Mytilus edulis: one gene and its partner. The protein of the gene in region 2 interacts with the protein of the main gene of each other region in a pairwise test. Links are inferred from orthologs where the notes say so. Each region holds a gene or a part of one and is shown on either strand. Other genes may lie near its edges.

Region 1 (11,009 bases), on a different chromosome or scaffold from region 2:
AATTCTCCTTGCTCTGGTGTGATTTCTGATTGGCTCTCTCAAAATGGGAATATACAGTGAAGATTCAAGCCATTTTCTCTTTTAAAACACTAAACTTCAGCCTTTTCTTTTATGAAGATCTTTGAGAGTGTCAACATATTTTGTGTACTTTGAGTGTTCTTGTCAAGGCATTTTTACAGGGTTCTACAATGTAGGTAGGAAATTACTTGGGTTATCCCAGGTCATTCTTGAAGTTGGGAGTGCCACCAATGAATTTATAATATATGTTATATGTAGACATTTTAGAGTATTGTCTAAATTATGAGTCCAGGACTCATCTAAGTGCTTTACCAAGAACCCCAGGCCTGTTTTACTTAGTTTAATTGTCAAAAGCTTTTGATTTTGATGGAAACTTTGATATTAGTCCACTGATGAAACTTGTTGTAGATATATCTGTTTTCATGGATACCAATTTTTATATGACCCAAAAAAAATTTTGGGATTGTATAAAGGTATGATGTAGTCGTCTGCGTTGTCCGAAGACACATTGGTTTACGGATAATAACTTTAGTTTAAGTAAATAGATCTTTATGAAAATTTTCAGAAGGTTCAATACCACAAAAGGAAGGTTGAGATCGATTTTGGGGATGATGGTCCCAACCCTTTAGGAATTAGGGGCCCAAAACAAACATTTTTCTAGTTTCAGGATAATAACTTGTGTACAAGTATTTCAATTGCTCTGAAACTATACCACAATGTTTAAAACCACAAGTAGAAGGTTTGAATTCATTTAAGGGGTTATGGGGCCAAAGTTTAGGAATTAAGGGCCAAAAAGGGGCCAAAACAAGCATTTTTCTAGTTTCCAGACAATAACTTGTGTGTATTTGTATGGATCTCTCTGAAATTGTACCACAATGTACCATATAACAAAGGGGAGGCTGGGATTAAGTTTTGGGTTAATTGCCCAAAACATGTAGGAATTGGGGGCCAAAAAACTGGCCAAAGAAGCATGTTTCTCGTTTCGAAACAATCATAACAATAACTTGTATTTTAAGTGTATGGATCTCTCTGAAATTGTACAAGGTTCAATACTACAAAAGAAAGCATGGGATTGAGTTTAAGGGTTATTGCTCTAAGGGGGGTTTCAATAAGTTTTGGGGGGGGGGTTTGTTTACCATTTTTTAAGGGATTCCTTTTATTTTCAAAATTTTTCAAATTTCGAATTTTGAAAAGTTTCAAGAGGAAATCTTTAACTGCACAGATCTTGTTAGATCTTTGCCCACATTTATTTTGTGACAAAAAACCTTTATTATGTCAAAATTTTTATCACAATCCAAATTCAGACAGTATCAAGCTTAAATATTGTGTACAAATTTGCCCCAACTGTTCAGGGTTTGACCACTGGGGTCGTATAAAGCTGCACCCTGCGGAGCACCTGGTTGTGGATTGTAGAAAACTTACTTTTTTGCAGTTTTCGCAAAAGTCTGCTTATAACTGGATAGAACATTTGCAGTTCTTTGAACTTTTATATTCGTGATCACCTGTACCCACAAAAATTGGTATCCAACAGAAAATAATGAATCCACAGTACATGTATATGAAATAGTATACATGTAAATGAAATAGTATACATGTACCTAAATAGTTATCCATAATATATACATTGTAAATTTGTATGTTAAATAATGTTGGAAGATTTATAAATATTGTCTCTTCAGAACCAAAGCTCATTTTATCAAGAGATAAATATATATTCATGTACATTGTATATGAATTCAAAAATACAGAATCATGTTTCATGTAAATTATTTTTGATTTGTGGTCTATTTGACTGTATCAAGTATTCTACCCTACAATGTAGTTTACTTGAACTGTTTTTTTCACATCTTTTACCCTGAATCTATTTGGAGGTGTAGTCTTTGACGGACAAACAAAATCTTCATTAAGGGACAAATTTTTCTCTCCATTCTAGCCAATATCTAAGAAAAAATAATTTTTATCTATGTCTGATCAGATTCAGAGTAACTCTTATATTTGATATTTGTTTGGTTGTTTTATGTGCATGATGTGAAAAGTAAAATCATAAAAATACTAAACTCTGAGGAAAATTCAAAACCGAAAGTCCTTAAACAAATGGCAAAATCAAATGAAAAAAACACATCAAACGAATGGACAACAACTGTCATATTCCTGACTTGGTATAGGCATTTTCAAACGTAGAAAATGGTGGATTGAATGTTTTTTAGCGCTAAGCCTCTCATTTGTATGACAGTCACATCAAATTCCATCATATTTACAATGATGTGATGCGTGAACAAAACAGACATAATAAGTAAGCTAGTCAAAATATGGGTACAGCAGTCAATGAATTTCCAATGTTATAACTTTTTTAATTGATTTTGTTTAATATTATCACTTATTTAAACTTAATAAGATAGCAAAAAAGATAAAGTAGACTAATTATATGATATCAAATGCTATTTATGTAATATTTTTTGACAAGACGTTTGCAATTGACTGTCACAAACATTAAGGTTCAATCAGGAGACAGTTGTGGATGTCAATAGTAACCTTATTGAAGTTGGAAGTTGAAGCAGTGACTTATGATGTACACGTCCGTGTTCTTCCCAGGGCATTAAAGCACTGTGGTACCCTAGAGCTATCTTGGATGATTTTATAATAGAATGTATAGTGGCCATGGTGCTACTTTTTGTTGTTTTGAATATCCCGATATAAACATATTATAAACATATTATAAAATATAAAACATAAAACAGATAAGCAGATGCAGTGGTACATGTAGTAATGATTTTCTTTTAAGGGTAAAAAATATATTAAATTCATCTTCATATGATACTTGTATCAAAAATATTTGTTTAATCATGAGAGGAAAAATAAAAGATAGGAAAGTCACTTTTCTTTGTCCCTGTCCCCATCTTACACTGTTAACATTGAAAATTTGTTAAATAATTTGGTCAAAAACTAAAATAATGGTGCAAGTAACTTGCTAAATTCATGTTTTGAGTTAGGCAGAATCTACATTTGTATGTTCAAATGTATAACTATGAAGTTAAACTAAAATTGAGCAAAGAATACAATTTGTCGAGTCAATAATTTTTTTTCTTGCTTTGTACAGAATTATGTCAATCCTGGTAATGTACAATGTAATAGGACGATAAATGTGCTCAGTTGATACAAGGTTTTACAATTTTAAGCATACAAGCCATGTCAGCTTTTGAAAAGTATCAACCAGAGGTTTTCATGACTTAAGGACGCATTGTCTAGCCTCAGTGAGAACCCTGTATTAAATGTGTACCAGAACAATGACTTCTTTTAATTTATTAATGAATTTAAAGTGGTTTTGGGAGGAGGGGCAAAAATGTAATTTGAATTTTTAAGATGTTATTTTGGTGATTGATGGTCACTTAAGTTAGTGCACAGAGGTAGTATATTGACGGCGCAGGTTCAGAAATCAAGTATGATTCTTTCTTATAATTACATACACTTTTATTTATTTTTGTTATTGCATGAAACTCCATGATCTTATGTGATCATTGGTTATTCCAGCTCATGTTGTGATTGTTTAAATAATATGATCATATAATATGCAGACTTTAAATAACTTTTCCTAATCATGTTATTATTTTATCAAATATTGTCAAATACATTTAGTAGTAATATTCTATAAATTTGTTCTTGTCAGACAGAATAAAGATTATAGAATATTTATTAAAACAGGAGCTGATGTGTTAAAATTGTTTACATCAGTTTCCAGGAACTTCAGTTTGGTTAGGAGGTAGTCCAAATAATTATGACGTCTTGAAAGGCTATTATAATTTTTTTCTTTGACGTTGAAGTAAGGCGTCAAAGAAAAAAATTATAATAGCCTTTCAAGACGTCATAATTATTTGGACTAGTTAGGAGGTTTTAATTTACATCGAGTGTCCAGAACTCCAATATATTTTTACTAAAATTGAAGTGCCTACTGAGAATATTTAGTTTTTTTTCAATTAAAAATGTTATTTCATGAATTTTAGCACTAAATAAGTAGCATACTTCAAACATAATCATTTTACAGTAAAAACATAAAAGACTTACATACTCAACAAAAAACTTGTAAAATCTATTTATGTATTTCTTTTATTTTGAAATATTATCTATATGTATTTACACACTGTTCTTCTTTAAATGGGTGAAATGTAAATTTGGAAGCAAGCAGTTACTTCTGACACTGTCTAAGAAATGTTCTTCAGATTAATTATGGTAAAAAATGGAAATCCTGACCATGTCATTCATTACATTTTATGAATGAATCCATGTCAACCGAAACAAGTGAAGAATTTCATTGATCAGAATTCTCTCAATGGCAGTTGTATATGGAAAAGTTATATGTCTGTGCATTAATTTCTTATCTTAAGGAATACAGAATGGTAAATTCGAACTGATGGAACTTTTGTCTATGTAAAAATACATGTTGAAATCATAACCGCCTCCATGATCATGATGTGTGCAGCAAGAGCGAAGACGGTCGAAGAATTCATACATGATTTTACCGTTTCGAATAAAATGGCATAAATTTGAAAGATCCATACAATAACTTACTTCTGTTTAATATCTTCGGTCATCTTCCTTGATCCATTTCGAAGTTACAGTGTGTACATTTTGTACAAAACACTGGCTGATATTGTCTCAGATTTAGACAGGAAATGCTTTGGACAGCAATGTTATAAGTGCGCTACATCCGCATTAAAAATAGTTTCAAGACATACCATTATTGGCAAATCATATCAAAATCAATGATTATATTACATATTTTTCATATCATATACCAACTGTGGGATGAAATGTGCAATTATATGCAGTTAACTTTTCTTTTTCAAAATATATGCATTAATAGTAGCGGAATAATTTTAAAAGCCAACATGGCTACTCGATAGTTCAAGTACAGTGCAAGGGACTATTTCATTTGTAACTTTTTTTAAACCCTGTAACCTAATATCGGACAACTATATTTTTTTGTTATATTGTAAAAACTTAAAAACTAAGTGTCCTAATCGAAACTTGAAATCTTTCTTATGGCGAAATGTGCAAGATAATTTTTTAAGTTTATTCAGTTGCCACATTGATATTTCTTATGTAAATTATTTACTGACCATGTTGACCAATCAAAATTAAGATGTAAATTAATGTCAATCATCGAGTGTCAAGTGTATTACTATTGTCATACACGTGACGTCACGTAAATGATACTAGGACACGCCTATCAAACAATGTTTATTGTTTTGCAAATATTTATGAATGAATTTATCTGGCCGACATCGCGTGTAACGTTCATTCACATACATTGATTGATGACCAACACACGATCTTAGTTTCGTTAAAATTAGAATAAATTACAAAACGCACACATATTACCTTTATAGGTCATATTTTAGGACATGTGATTTTTGAAAGTTACTATTCAAAGGAAAATAACTTAATGAGGGAGATGGAGGTGTCCAATTCTGAATCTTGAAAGTGGGTCATGTCCGCTTCTCAATGATTACAATGATTACCATACAACATTTGGTTAGGTTATCTTCTTATATTTTCCCGTATCATAAAAAATGGACGGAATGCAGAAATAACCTTTGAAACTTCAACCAGTGATTACTGTCTAAGGCTATTAAATGATGACAGTGTTGGCAAATATATATGTAAAAATGAAACTTGAAATATAATGATATCGATGTGACCGCGGTATGATTGCAAATTAGACAGCTGACAATTTTCTAGTGGTCAGTCAATATTCTGCATCATTAATCCTGCAAAACTTAAACCTATTGTATTATAGTTGTTCTCATTCTGAATATGCATGGGATATTTGCCACTTGACATACAGCGAACAATAATCCAATTAATCAAAGAACAGTGATCAAAACTCCATACTGTATAGTTAGATATATATACATAAAAAAAAACCCGGATACGGACAAAGAGAGAAACCAGCGGCCTAATATACCACATCTTTAATAGCATAAAGTAAATCAACGACGTAAGAAAGAGGCATGGGATATTTTCCACTGGACATAAAGCTAGAAATAGTCAACCATATTGCATGCCAATCAAAGGACAGTAAACAAAATCTAATACCGTGTAGTAATTATACCAAAAAATGTTCCGGGTTAATGACAAAGAGAAAAAAATACCACATCTTTAATAGCAGACAGTAAAGCAACAACGTCATAAAGATGCATGGGATATTTGCCACTGGACATAAAGCTAGAAATAATCAACCAATCAAAGGACATAAGACAAAATCCCATAGCGTGTAGTAATTATACATTAAAAGGTCCCGGGATAAATACAAGGAGAAAAATCAGCGGCATAATTTATACAATACCTTTAATGACACTGGGGTAAAGCTGATGACCGTAACTGCATTCACGGTCATCCCAAGATGTCGGATGAAAAATTAGGTCAGTTTCTGTATTGTCTGTTAAAGTGTTTCTATATCATTTTCTTTAAAAATCATACATTGAAACGATGTAAATTTATAAAAGAATCACTCGAAAATCACTAATTACTTCCGAGAAATGTGCATGAAACGGGAAATTCGATTTGAAAAAATCGTTAAGATGACCGTAAATCATAATCAAAATATTTTCAAGATGACCGTAACATAAAACAAGGATGACCGTAATTGGTAAAAAGATGACCGTAACTTGTAAAGGATGATCGTAATTTGTAAAGACTGACTGTAATTTATATAGGACGACCATAACTTTTATAGGATGACCATCAATTCTAAGAAATATCCGTATTGTATTCAAAGCTTTTTTGTTGAGTTTGTCGATCTCAATAAGGGCTCGGTTAGCGGATATAAATATGTTTCATAAATTTCTTTTTAACCGGATTTTTGTGACAAAAATGTCGGTTATTGATTTGGGGATGTACGGCGGGCGGGCGGGCGGCGATCAAATGTTGTCCGTGCATTAACTCATGAACCGTTCAACCAAAGCTTTTAAAATTTTAATATAATGTTACTAACAACTAAATGAAGGCCAAGTTCAATAATGGCGATTTTGACTTTTACCGTTCAGGAGTTATGGTTCTTGAAAGATTGAAAAATGGAGTTTCCAGTCGTGTCCGTGTATTTACGCATGAAATGTTCTACCTAAGCTTCCCAAATTTTAATATGTTGTTACTGATGACAAAATGGAGGTCAAGTTCAATAATGACGATTTTGACTTTTACCGTTCAGGAGTTATGGTTCTTGAAAGATTGTGAAATGGCGTTTCCATTCACGTTGTTACATTTACTCATGAACCATTCAATCTAAGCTTTTCAAATTTTAAGATGTTGATACTGATGACAAAATTGATGTCAAATTTGATATTGACGATTTTCACTTTCACCATTCATCAGTAATGGTTCTTGTGATATTGCCAGGACACAAATAAATATTAATAAATCCGGTTTGCTGTCGTTGTGACAGCCTCTTGTTTTGAACTATAATATAATTAGCCATATTTAGGATTTATAACAATGATAGTAAATTGCATATTTCTCGTAAACAATGAAATATTTATTGATATCGACGTTAAGATTTTAACACAAATTGACAGCGATACGACGAAAATTTGAAGAAACATGAATGTGTCCCTAGTACACGGATGCCTCATCTACACTATCATTTTCTATGTTTAGTGGACTATGAAAATGGGATAAAACTGTAATTTGGCTTTAGAATTTAAAAGATCATACCATGGGGAAAATGTGTACTAAGTTTTAATTATTTTTAACTTGAAGCTGGACAAACGGACAAACAAACAGACGAACGGACGAAGGTACGCACAGACCAGAAAAACATAATGCCAATAAATGGAGCATTAAAAACATTAATAATACATACGAATATTTGGTAATCGAGCCCATGTGTATGGTTCCAGAGGAAGCAGATTAAAATCTTAATTTGACTTGATATATGCAGGCGGAAACACTTTTGAAATAGAACAAAAGAATCGAAGCTCTGTGTTTATCGAGAAAGCGATAAATGTTAACTGTAATGTTTGATATAGTAACAAAATTTTAAAAAGTTAATAGAAACAAATAAAACGACAATTTTCTTATCTTAAAAACACCATTTGCATAAGTTTTCAATATATCTATTACATAGTAATGCAAAACAATAAGATATCAAGTCGACGACATGGTTCTTATCGGGGCCTTTTATAGCTGACTATGCGGTATGGGCTTTGCTCATTGTTGAAGGCCTTACGGTTACCTATAGTTGTTAATGTTTGTGTCATTTTGGTCTTTTCTGGATAGTTGTCTCATTGGCAATAATACCACATCTTCTTTTTTTATATATAGTATCTAAAGTTGGATGTAGAAAATAACCTCCGATTTTTTTTTATCACGGACGGAGAACATATCAATCTTTTAGTTCAGAAATTTTCGTGTCTGCCCTTCCATTATGTGAATCAAGAAAAAATTCCCCAAAACAGGTAACGATTGTATCGAAAAGAGAAAAATCGAGTGCACCTTTTTTATGTTAAGGCATGTTTGGGGTGTATATTTTGTCTTTAAAACGTACAAAGCAAGAGTATTTTATATAGCATCTCGCTTCAGATTCTATCATTATTATATATCAAAGCTACAGGTTGACTTTATAACGTAAAAAAATGACAGTACGAAAAGATGAAATATATGGGTCAAGTGAGATACCTATCTAATGAATCACAAAAACAGAGAAGGTGTGTTCGAATAGCTATTTTTTCTAAAAGTACTTGACGACAGTCTTTTAATTTGGATGATGAAAATGGATATCTTCGAAAAAATTTGATTTTCTTGTGTGTGATAATTAGGGTTTATAATCTTCAACCACTGAAAATGTTTAGTCTGCCCTTCCACGAAATATTTAATTAGAATTTTTTTAAATGCTTAAGAATTTTCAAAAATTTCATCTGACATCCGAACAGACAATATTTTTAAGTTGAATCAATGCAGACAAGATCATTAACTAATGCTCATTAGCTAGTAGATACATTTGTCTTTTAAAATATAACTGACATAATGGTGCTATGTGGATAAATTTATCAGTTTTCAAGAGCAAAATTGGCAGAGCGTCATCCCTACAATGGCTTCCATTTCTACGATTGTGAGCATGAACTGGCGCAATGGAGAGATAATTTTGAAGAAGTAGAATCCTGACTGTATGAATAACATTTCTGTATATATACAAATTGACAACGTTCCGCCTTGTGATACGCTTTTCGTACAATACTATTTTAAGGATCTACTTTGCTGGAGCTCACCTTCACTAGTTTATTCGAATGATATTTTCAAAATATTTCTGTTATTTTATTTGCACGACAAAATGAAAGACTATATAATATCAATGGGTGTACATGCAATTTTTTGGCATTTTTAAAAATGTGTATTTATTATATGTCATTAAAAGGAATCCCAGAAACAAACAAAAATCTTTTGTCGAGCAGTTGAAGCTGTGCACCCCATTTTTTTTTATTATGCTTGTAAGGTGTCATTTTCGCGCTTTTGTGGCATGTTTTCTCTTCCTGTTCATTTGCATGTCTTTTGGCAATCATTTGATACAAAAAGATAGTTATATAATTACGGATATTTCTTAGAATTGAGGGTCATCCTTTAAAAGTTACGGTCATCATTTACAAATTACGGTCATCTTAATAGCAGTTACGGTCAGCCTTGTTATGAATCGCTGATTCTGTTACGGTCATCTCGATTGTGATTTACGGTCATCTTGGCGATTTTTTCAAATCGAATTTCCCGTTTCATGCACATTTCTCAGAAGTAATTAGTGATTTCCGAGTGATTCTTTTATAAATTTACATCGTTTCAATGTATGATTTGTAAAGAAAATGATATTGAAACACTTTAACAGACAATACAGAAACTGACCTAATTTTTCATCCGACATCTTGGGATGACCGTGAATGCAGTTACGGTCATCAGCTTTACCCCAGTGAATGACATACACACCGATAGTTGTACATTTCTGTGTCATTTAGTCGTCTGTGAAGAGTTGTCTCATTGGCAATTATCCCATATCTTCTCCTTTTTTTTTTCTTTTTTTTTTTTATAAATAACCAAAATCAGCCATTGGATTAAACATGCTAAACCCCCACTGTTTATTTAAATCTAGCCCGATTGTAATGACGCATTGCAGTCTGTCTGACAAATTTCTTGTCCATAACCTGTGACAGATCTAGAATATGGGCAGGATCTATTTAACGTTTCAAAGCACATGAGTTTACCCGGTCTTTTGCTGGGTTCGTGCTACTCGGACCGCTTTAGTTATTTATGTTGTTTCCTGTACACTGCTGTTTACCTTTTGGTCGTTTAACGTGTTTGGTATGGATTTTCCAGTTTTTCATCGACTTATGACGGTTTGAATATCCCTTTTGCATCTTCCGCCTATAATGTTATAGATAATGACGACACTGTAAAGCCGTCTATGGGTATATGATCGTATATATATATATAGAGAATGAAATTCAAAACAGTGTAGCTGTGGCCATTGATTGACACATTAAAATCATCCATTGACTGGGACAATTTAGGTGAACGTTTGTATGTAACGACCAATGCTCACTATGTACTTTTTAAAGACACTTAAACTATGGGGTCACCAAAGGTTCTCAACACCTAAATAAAGTAATTCGAAAATTTTTTTCAGAAATAGCACGATATTTTGATTTAAATCAAAACACAAAGGTTATTCCTGATTAATTTTTCGAATTATTTTATAATTAAAGGCGTTAAGAAACCTTTGGTGACCCCACAGTTTAAATGTCTATCGTAGGTACGTCGTGAACAGTGGTCGTTACAGACAAACGTTCACGTAAATTGTCCCAGTCAATGGATGATTTTAATGTGTCAATCAATGGCCACAGCTACACTGTTTTGAATTTCATTCTATATAAAAAAAAAGATTTGGTTTGATTGCCATTGATACAATAGGTCACCGTACGGCTTTCACTAATGAGCAAAGCACATACCGTGTAGTC
Region 2 (11,528 bases):
TACCTCTTTTGATAGAAAAGTCGGCATTCTTAACTTTTCTGTTGCTTCTTTTTTGTGTGTTGGTCCAGTAAACAGCTCACTCTGAAATTTACATTAAACATTTAACATATCTAAAAGTTCATTTACTGATAATGTAAAACCATCTAATGTTTGCGAATGATTTATTTTGCTGAATTTCCCGTCGAAAAATTATGCGAATATAAATCTTTGTGGATAAGTTAAACTTGGATCTCTCCTTACATTTGCCTTATTCATATTCATGTTTACAGTAAGTCATTAAGTTAACTAGAAACAACCATCACAATATGATAATATGATTTAAGATCTTTAATGTGTTGCACAAGTATTGTCAACAAAGGAATTCCATGACTGTAGTAAAGTTTAAACATATTATTTGCAAAAATTGTAAAATAAGGAATTACTTAGACATAAGTTAGTCCAACTTAGAAATTCTTCTATTAATATTCAAATCAAACACCTGTCATGCCTGTTATTTAAAATTTCTATGGAAATTTACCCAACATGACCAAAAGAACATCCCCATTAACATGATTTATCTATTTAGAATTCAATCATTCATCGTCATCAACATTTATGTTTTGACTTAAGTATAGCCTCACTGGACACAATTACAAACGATCTTTAAACTGTGATTAATATTTTATTTATGTAAACTACTTTTTTTGAATTGTTTATATCATAGAATTTAAGACATATGAAGGCTTTCCATTTTGCATCATATCCCATATAATTTTTTATTCACTTTAGGATAACTTTACTAAGATTGTGTGACCTTGTTTTACGGGTCAAGTGAGCCATATATATGGACGCAATTCCGAACAACACTTTATTACTTTATCTTGCAGAAGAAATCAATGACAACAGTCTGAATTGTTTTACATTGTCTTATCGGGGCCTATTATAGCTGACTATGCGGTATGGGCTTTGCTCATTGTTGAAGGCCGTACGGTGACCTATAGTTGTTAATGTCTGTGTCATTTTGGTCTTTTGTGGATAGTTGTCTCATTGGCAATCATACCACATCTTCTTTTTTAGATTGATAAAACATACATTTATCTTAATCTCAAACACATTTCCAGAGGATAATATGATGCACAATTTTAGATTTTACTTCAATTACTTCAGCAATGATTGCAGACGAAATGTCTGTCATGTGTAAAGGAAAGATTTTGGAATTGTTTTGTTTTTATTCAAGTTCCTCCTTTAAAGGAGCACTAAATTCAAGTTTCTCCATTTCGGTGGTGGACCTATCATTCATCTATGAATTTTTTTATAGGTTAACATTATTTTCGGAGTTCTCTGGACTTTTCAATAAGTTTGAGAGAAGCTCTACTGTGATAGTCCAGTTTGGTATATTTTAACCCTGTTATTGATTTCAAACTCATGTGATCACGCATGTGAACAGAATCAGTAGATGTTTTTCTTTCTATATATTATAGGGACGAAGTCCCCTATTACAGTAGAAAATTCAATAATATAAAAAAAAAATCAACAAAATTTCCCGAATTTTTCATTGTACTCAAAATCGTTCAAAAATTTTTTTGTCGCATTTTTGAATTTCGGGATCTGTGCAGAAATCTACTTCTGTTTCTGGTCTTGTTTGCATGAGACTTTGAATAAATTGTATATTTATCAGTCTAAGAAAGGAACTTAATACTAATTCATTTTTAAAAATTGTTTGTTGTAAAAAAAAAACATTACCTGATGACACTCAGCATTTCTTTGTTTACATTGAATAGGACGACAAACTTAAATAATGTCACAACATGTACAAGTGAAACTGCGAGCTACTGCTCACTGATGATACCCCCGCCGCAAGTGGATAATATTAATTGTGTAAAAATATGCAAGTGTTCGGTAAACAGGAAGTTGTCGAGTGATGAATCTGAAAACGCATCACACAGTATAGCTGACTTATATTAACCCTTAAACCAAATTTCAGAAATCCTTGTATTGTAGTTCCTGAGAAAAATGTGACGAAAAATTTTCAACTTGGCTATCATGTGTAAAATCAAACAAGTGTTCGGTAAACAGGAAGTTGTTGAGTGATGAATCTGAAAACGCATCACACGGTATAGTTGACTTATATCAAGCCTGAAACCAAATTTCAGAATCCTTGTAGTGTAGTTCCTGAGAAAAATGTGACGAAAAATATTCAAGGGATGAATTTTTCTCATTGCTAAGAGCCTTATGGTTACCTAAAGTTGTTAATGTCTGTGTAATTTGGTTTCTTGTGGAGAGTTAAATATTATATTGCATATACTGTACAGAAAAGAAATGTCATACACTCGCACATCAATATGTAAAAAAATGTGAAATATTTGCCACTGGACGTTAGGCAACCACCAATTAAATCAGCCTGATCAACAATAAAGGTAGACACATTTTCGTGCAGTTTGTATAAAGTAAAAGAAAAAGGTATTAACTAACAAATCAAGTCAAGTAGTTATTAAACTATTTACACATGTGCATGTCTGTTTCAAAACTAAAAGGAGATTTTAACTAGTCAAAAAGTATATTAAAAAGAAGGGAGACATGTACATTTCAAAACATTTAGATATCAATATGGCATTTAAACTGGTGTACAATGTATGCTTTGAAGTCAACTTGCCAAGTTAACAGAAGTATAGAATAGTAGAATGTTTATTCTTACAAAAATTGTTACATGAAAAGGCAGCAATACTTGCTGCTGTGAGTTTTTATCGTATATTTAGCAGTTCCTTACACTTAAACTATGGTTTAATCTCTTTACATTCGAGGTGAAAAGTGAGACTTATATTGCCATTTTCTATTAAATGATCATTAACAAAAATGATTAAATGTAAGTCCTTAATACACAATCCGTGAAAAGGAGAAACCATAAATTAACCGACAATCATAAAAAAATCAAAAAAAAATCAATGCAAGCTCATAATGTAAATTTCGAAAAACACACTTAGAAAACAATTTACCGACAACCCCAAAAAAAACCAACTCAATACATACCCAATTAATAATGAACACAAAAAGTAATAATTTTTTAATGATCTATAAAAATTATGAATATAAGACAAAGTTGATCATGATTAACGGTAAATAAACAAACAAATTAAGTTTTTTTTCTACTCATTAATTAATTTTATATTTTGTATTTTTGGAAAGATTGTGGACACTGTGGTGTAACAACTTCTTGTGTACCAGGTGTCAATTAAAACTCTTTTAAACAGGTTGTGATTTACCTGATCATCGAATAATTCAAGCCTAATATACGAATGTAGGACAGAAAGTCACAGGACAAAAAGTCACAGACAAAAAGTCACGGACAAAAAGTCACAGGACAAAAAGTCACAACTCATTTTTTCTGATTATTTTCTTTCAAAAAAAAAAGCTTATTTTTACAAAAACATTTTTGTATTTTTCTTGAAGTATTGTATACTAACCAACTTTGTAAGCAAAATTTATCAAAAAAATATCAAAGATGATCAAATAATTGCTAAGAAAACAAAATGTCAAAGTAGATTGGCACTTAAATGGCTTCATGGTGCCAAGAAATATGTCCTTTGCAGGATTAAAATTAAATAAATCTTCATTTTTAAAGTAAAATGATAAATATCATTTACTTTAATATGAATATATGTATTACAAAGTAAATATTTTAAGATATTTTTCTTATATATTCAAACAATTGTCTAAAAATTATTTGTGACTTTTTGTCCTGTGACTTTTTGTCCTATCAAATTTGTGACTTTATGTCCTGTGACTTTTTGTCCTGTGACTTTCTGTCCGTTTACCTAATATACATGTCACACTGTGAAATTATGTCTCTGACACAGGTGTATATTAAATAGAAACCCATTATGAAACTATCAAATAAAATGAACTCTAGATCTGATACAATTAATTAAGTGTCAACTATTTAATATGTTGTTTTTTTTAAATTCAATATCAAATTATGTCTCTTTTTCATTATACAAATAATACAAATCAAAATTAAAATGACATTGAAATAAATATTTATGCATGAACTCAAATTATTTAATTAATTATGTTAAATTTAACACTGAAACAGTTAATTTATGCTTAAACATTCACCCTTACTTCGAGTACTTTTAATACTTTGATAAAGACTCTATTACCCAAAGAGATCTCGCGAGGTTTACAACCCTGTTAGCTAAGCCTAAGGCTTAAATCATGAATGTCGGTTTTAAAAAAGCTCATTAGAGTTTCTATGTTTGTATACCTTGCCGACTCTTAATAAAGCTTATTTATAATGCATCTGAAACCTGAATAATTTACCGGGTCAACCTTATCCCAGCTATTGTACTTTCCAACAAAATCAAGACCATAAACATGACCACAAACAGACGTCATTTTGAAGAACACATTTTCTCCCGTTGGAGGAAAAACACCTCTGTATTCGTGGACAGAACAAGCTCCATTTGACCCTTTTCTACTGTTCATCTGACCATTGGATAAAAGCTTAGCAATCGACTGGGCTAAAGACGGTTTCTCTGCAACCATCAGAACGGTCTTCATGTTGACGTTTTAAATATACTGCACTGGCACTAGAAAAACCAAATATTTTTCAATTGTCAAGTGTCAAACTGATGGGCGCTGACATATTGAATTACAAAATAACGTGGCGAATCTCGTCTAGGACGACAGACCTAAAATAAAACTGACTTATCCGTGCAAGGATTATTCGCTCCGTGAAGCACAGGGGATTGTTTAGTGGGTCAGACGAGGTTTAACTGTCAATGGCGATCGCTATCCTATATAAAAATACTTGGTATTTTATATAGGATAGCGAACGCCATTGACAGTAAAACCTCGTCTGACCCACTAAACAAGCCCCTGTGCGTGAAGATAAGATAAACAGATGATTGAACGAACTTCTTCTTGCTAGAAAGCTAGAAATTCATGCTAGACATTCTATAAAAAGGCTTAAAAGCATATTTTGAACTTTGTAAAGTATTTGGTAATCAAAAACCAAAGATAAAAACATGTTTTTCATATTTTTGAACATAGAGTAAAGCCCATTTTATTATATGGTAGTGAGATATGGGGCTCGGAGTTACACAAGTTACATGAGCACTGAGGACAAATTATCATGGCTTGAAACATCCACTCAATTTTGAATTTTTTCATGCCATCTTGATAAAGATATTTACAAACTATTAGAATTTAAATCTAAGGAAACTGTTTTTTTCACAATCGAGATTAAAATATATCCAAATTTGTAAAACGATTTTTTTTCTGTTTTTAGAAACGGTAGTAAGAAAAATAAATTGCGTTTATATAAACTGTTTAACAAATCTCAATTTCAATTTGAACCATATTTAGATTTAAATAGGGATGAAAGACATATGATTACTAAATTTCGACTAACACACACATTAGCAATAGAAGCAGGAAGATACAAAAATATCAGATGTAAATTATAGAATAATATGTAGAATTTGTAAAAATAATCAGATTCCGAAAAAATCAAAAAAGTGAAAAGTATATTTCAACAAAACGCATTCGACTAACAGGTCGAACAACTGATGTTCTTAAACCCTGCTGGCTGCCATTGACGATTGCTAAATAAATTGATCACGAGATGTAACATGGATCTTAATTATTAATTTGATACCAAACAAAACATAATAAAAGAGGGACGAAAGATACCAGAGGGACAGTCAAACTCATAAATCGAAATAAACTGACAACGCCGTGGCTAAGGGAGCTACCATTGGATTTTTATGGGGGGGCTAGGATGAAAAATTTTGTCCTGCATTTTTTTTTAGTTGTAATCTCTGTCCTGCCTTTTTATTTTTCACTCTATTCGGTCCTGCCTTTTTTTTTTATTAGTTTATCCTGACTTTTTTTCCCAGAATTGTCATCCTGCATTTTTTTTTTGCAAAGTGTCTCATCCTGCCTTTTTTTTTTACTCACAACTCCTGTCCTGCCTATTTTTTTCAAATTTCATCCGAGCCCCCCCCATAAAAATCAAATGGTAGCTCCCTTAAAACTGAAAAGGACAAACAGACAAACAATAGTAAACATGACACAACATAGAACACTAAAGAATAAACTACACGAATCCCACCAAAATTTAGGGGTGATCTCAGGTGCTCCGGAAGGGTAAGCAGATCCTGCTCCACATGTGGCACTATGAGATAACAAATCCGGTAAATAGTCTAATTCGGTAGGTCACATTTATGAAAGGGAAGGGGATTGTAGTTACGACGTAAGGAACATATCCGATATCATTTGTGAAACGGTTATTCCATAACGGTCAACAAACTCGTGATGGCGTCCGTAAACTTGCGGAGAAGATGGTATACCGCAAACATGAGGTGCAAAAATTTGTACACCATATTCGGCATGATTTCGACAATTAATGTCTCCTCAGTGTCTACATCTACATCGTTGAAATGCAAAGTGTCTAAGACCCATCACGCAAGTATCAATTAGGTCATTCAATATGGTGCTCATTGAAAACATATTTACATGTGAAATTAAAATCAAATGTTTGTTGCGTGACTACTCTGTTAAATAAGATGTGAGGCTGTTCTTGAATGCCTCTGCATCTTCTATATTTAACGGTCTTATTGGTAGGGTATTCCAGTCTTTGATGGTACGTGAAAAGATGCTGTATTTTAAGGTGTTTGTTGAAGTTTGAAGGTTTCTAAATTTACTTTGGTGGTATTGCCGTGTTGTTCTGTCTTGTTGTTCTACATAATCTGGAATATTTATGGCTATCTTTTTATGTAAAGCTTTGTGAAACAAGCAAAGCCTTTTATATATTTTCCGTCTAGTTTCTAATGATGGTAGTTTTAGCTCCTTCAGTAGACTAGTAACTGACCAGGTTCTTTGCTGTATTGATGTTTGATGAAACGTGCTGATCTTCTTTGCACCATTTCTATCTGTTTGATGTGGTTTTCTTGATATGGATCCCATGCACTGCTTGCATATTCGACGTTTGGTCTGACAATGGCTTGATATGCTCTTTTCTTAATTTCTTCTGAGAATTTGCCGATGTTTCTCCTCAGAAAGCCTCATGATTTATTTTCTTTTACCGTGATGTTGTTGATGTGTATATATCCCATTTCAGGTTGTTGGTAAACTGAACTCCTAAATATGGGTTTTGACTTACATTTTCTAAAACTTGGCCATGCATGTGATAGTTATGTAATATAGTAGGTTTTTTCCTGTTGGTTATTCTTAGAACATAACATTTTGAGGCATTAAATTTCATCTGCCATTTAGATACCAAAGTCAATCAATTTATCCAGATCTTTTTTTAGTTGGTTACAGTCATCTTTGCAGTCTATTGCTAGGTATACTAGGCTATTTTCTGCAAAGAGACGCAACTTTCACTTGATGTCATCCCCAATATCATTGATGTACAAAAGAAACATAAATAGACCTAAAACTGTATCTTGGGGTACTCCCGATTTTACAAAGGCATTTGTAGATGTTTCGCCTTCAACTGATACACACTGATGTCGTTGTGTGAGCCAGGCCTTTATCCAATCTATTATTTTGCCATTTATTCCTTAGTGCTCTAGTTTCCGTAGAAGCCGTATGTGAGGCACTACATCAAATGCTAAATTGAAATCTAATATAAGCATATCCACTCGCAAGCTTTTGTCTCCCTTTTCAAAAAGTGTTGTGATGATAGCTGTAATCCACGGCCAATCGTTTGGGACAGCCCCTTCATCATATGTTTTCTTGAATAATGTTGTTATGTATATGGCGAGATACTTGTAGCACATTCCTTTGGGACTTTTTTCTGATTGACATTACTAAGTAGCTTTCTTACTCCTTCTACTGTTATCTCTAGATGGGTCTATATCAGGCGATGGGCTGCCATTTAATTTTGGTTGACTTGATGTATTTTCATCAGTATAAACAGATACAAATTAATGGTTAAGTGCTTCTGCTTTCCCTTTGCTGTCTTCCATTAGTTTTCCATTTGAAATAAGTGGTGCTACTCCACTGGAGTCTCTTTTATTTGATTTAACATATTGCCAAAACTTTTTTCCAACAACAGGTGTTTTTCTCTCACCCTCTTCGTCTACTTCAAATAGTTGTGATATGTAGTTTTGATGTGCTTCTTCTAATTTAGTTTTTACTGTTTTTCTCAGGATTAAATTCTTCCCAGTGTTTTCTTTATTGGTACGTTTTGCCTTGTTGTAAACCCTTTGTTCTTTTCCTGATCATTGTTTGATCTCTCGATTGATCCAAGGTACATTCTGGTTGACAGTATTTTAGTTGGGATATTTAATATTATAGCCTGTGTGTGACAATATATCTTTAAAACCATTCCAGCATTCTTGTATGGTACTTGTATTTGCTTTTTGTATAAAATTATTCAGCTCTTTATCTAGCTGTTTATTTATTCATGTCGCCCTTTTTGTAAATATATACTTTCCTTGGTACTTGCAGTACTTTTCAGTGATGTTAGGGATCGAAACGGTATTTGGAAGGCCATATAATTTACCTCAATTTAGTGTAGACTCTTTGAATTTTAAAGTTTTGAAATAGGATGAACGAATCATATAAATCCGAAGGAAAATATAATACATGCCCAAACGAAAAATATATAGTTAGAAACGGCAAGATTGTCAGTATTATAGAACTGGGTCACTGTACCTAATATATTATAAAATATACCAGCTGGATTTTATTGCTGGTCTTAATTGAATAATTTGATTTATCATTTTATTTGGTTTATTTGTATTATTTTACTTGTGCATTTTATTGAGCATCCATTTGTTGCAATGAAATCATATCTATACATGTAGTTGATATTATTTCTAATTCAGTCTGACAGTGACAGTCTAATGCTACATGTATGCATAAGAATAAAATATAAGATTTTTTAACTGTACGTGTTATTAAAAAAAAATCTCATTAATCTGATAAAACATTATACAGTATAACAAAGTTAATCACATAGTATAAGCTTCAAAAATCGAAATGTTAAATCAAACTGTTGTCTGCGCTTTAGTTTAAACATATTTATCGTCCCCTTCAGACGGGCTATCATCGTTTCTCAAGACCATACTCGCAAATGGTGTCAAAGCAGAGTCGAAAATTAAGTCCCTGAAATTGTCTCCCCTTTTCTGCTCTTTGGTCGGGTTGTTGTCTCTTTGAGTTCATGTGGAATATCCAGTATATTACTATAACTGAAAGAATATTTACAATCTTTTACATTTAATAACTACGTTAAAAGTTTCAATTGCCTTTGATTATTGTCTTTTAATTTAAAACTGCAGTAAAGGCATATTTGCTTCTTCAAGTCATTGAACTGTTGATATGAGCTTTAATTATCTTCATACTCACACCTTGGTACATTTTTTGGACTTTTTCTGTTTGTATCTTTATTTTCTTAGTATCAAAAAGTCATGCAACAGGACAGAAATTGAATTTGCTCCTAATATATGTATTGGTTATTCAATTAAGTTCCAGAAACGTAATGTTTTATGTTCCTGAGATGCCTTTTTGAGTATCAGAATTAGCTGGTAAGCAATGTCAATGAGGTATGAAGAAAGATATTATCAACAGCTTTCATATCTTAAATGATTTTAACTAAAGTAAATATAATTTATACATGAAAACATAGCTTTCAAGTTAACTGGAAGCATTATTAAAATGTATTACAACTTCACATTGGAAGTGTGGATTTAAAAAGAGGGACGAAAGATACCAAAGGGACAGTCAAACTCATAAATCGAAAATAAACTGAAAACGCCATGGTTAAAAATGAAAAAGACAAACAGACAAACAATAGTACACATGACACAACATAATGATGATCACAGAAGAAGGATGACAAGCCGAATATGGACGATAAAACCTAGTTGAACATATACGATTACATTCTATGCACATTTTTCTAGAGGAGTTATATTCTAATATTCTGTTTAATATCCCATAAATGATGCATCGAAGGCCGTACCTTGACATATAATGTTTTATAAATTGTTATTTGGATGGAGAGTTGTCTCATTGGCACTCATACCACATCTTCCTATATCTATTTATCCCTAAGTTTCCCCAAATATTTGAAAAACGCCATTTTGAAATGATACAAATGTTATGATGGCAGATATTCCCTCGTTGGAAGATTTATAAAATGATAATTAATAATTTAACGGAAATTTCCACCATAATAAGTTTAAATAGATTTTGCAAGTTCCAAAGCAAGATCGTCGGCTCTCCTAACTTTCCCAACGTCCTGCGTTTAATAATCTATTGATGAGCTGGCGAGCAACACTGTTTATGAATTGTGTATCCATGTATAGTTTTTCCAGTAAAAGTCAAATAACTTAATGTCGGATGTCCTTCTTAAAAATGAAAAAAAGAAAAAATCCAACGCATTAGTCTTCTGTTGGCATTTAGCCATATACCATTTTTTTTTATAAAACTAAGGAGATGTAGCATGACTGCCCGTACACACATCTTTTCATTAATACAACATGACGAAGATTTACACAATTATATATAGGTCACAGTTGGGCCATTAGCATTGAACAATCTAATTCCGTAAGGCAAAATGAGTCCAAGAAGAAAAAAAAAACAAAAAAAAAACCAACGGATTGATTTCTTGTAAAATAATTGAAGATACTAACCAACAACAGCTACTAGATAACAGGTTACTTGCTGGCGCGGACAAGAACGTGATTGCATTAAATATTACTGTTTGCGCAAATCACATAGACGTTAAAGAACATGTAAATGAGTTTATATTTCTAAATGTAACTTAAGGTGGCTCGGGCCTATTCGAAGTTTCTATCAGAAGTGCCATATTTTTTGTTATTTTATTCTTTACAGAAAGTGAATCAAATTGGTCGAAAAAAATAGGGGGTCACGGACCATTTAAGCTCAAAATTTTACTTTTAAACAGGTATGTAAAAGGGACCATTTTTCAATGAAATGATAGGGAAAGTAGAGGTGTTGACATATTTTTATCGGAATATCAAAAAACGTTCTATAACACTTGGTCCAAAACTGTAATATAAAAAGCTGAACTATAGCTTCAAAGAATGAGCAAATAAAAAACAAAGGTCACGGATAAGGAAAAAAAATTTGTTTGCCTTAAAACACAAATTTTGGCGGGAAAATGGTGAAAATTGGTGAAATGTAATTTTGACCCTTTAACAAATACGGATAATAACGAAAATATTCTATTAGTCACATAACTACAATGATTTAACATTTCTAATCAATCAAAATATTTAAAAAAAATATATCGAATTTACGACAAATACTTTTGTAATTCATGCGTGAAATTATGCGCAGTCGAATAGTCCCGAGCCACCTTAACACGTGATATAATTCTAATATTCAAACAACATTTTAGTCGCAGCGTCAGTCAATCTTATGTATGTCAATTATTCGAAAACATTTATATAGTCGTTGCCCGTCACAATCTCGTTAAATTGGTCCAAAATAATCTTAAATTGGGCTACCCCCCCCCCCCCCCCCTAATTTCTTTTTGTCATTTTCACAATTTCATTTTTTTAACCGTAACT

Evidence for each region. The genes of interacting proteins can lie anywhere in the genome.
Region 1: the proteins of DNA topoisomerase 3-beta-1-like (region 2) and sprouty-related, EVH1 domain-containing protein 2-like interact in binary tests that used the Homo sapiens proteins (3 or more experiments, as listed by UniProt). The link is inferred for Mytilus edulis from reciprocal best matches to the Homo sapiens genes TOP3B and SPRED2.

What each region holds. Positions count from the first base shown.
Region 1 is NC_092346.1:68,032,485-68,043,493, forward strand, and holds the start of sprouty-related, EVH1 domain-containing protein 2-like, read right to left. Parts: upstream 4,736-11,009; 5' UTR 4,605-4,735; coding exon 4,582-4,604; intron 1-4,581. UniProt on the Homo sapiens protein: Negatively regulates Ras signaling pathways and downstream activation of MAP kinases. Recruits and translocates NF1 to the cell membrane, thereby enabling NF1-dependent hydrolysis of active GTP-bound Ras to inactive GDP-bound Ras.
Region 2 is NC_092350.1:349,563-361,090, reverse strand, and holds the start of DNA topoisomerase 3-beta-1-like, read right to left. Parts: upstream 4,656-11,528; 5' UTR 4,537-4,655; coding exon 4,297-4,536; intron 82-4,296; coding exon 4-81; intron 1-3. UniProt on the Homo sapiens protein: Releases the supercoiling and torsional tension of DNA introduced during the DNA replication and transcription by transiently cleaving and rejoining one strand of the DNA duplex.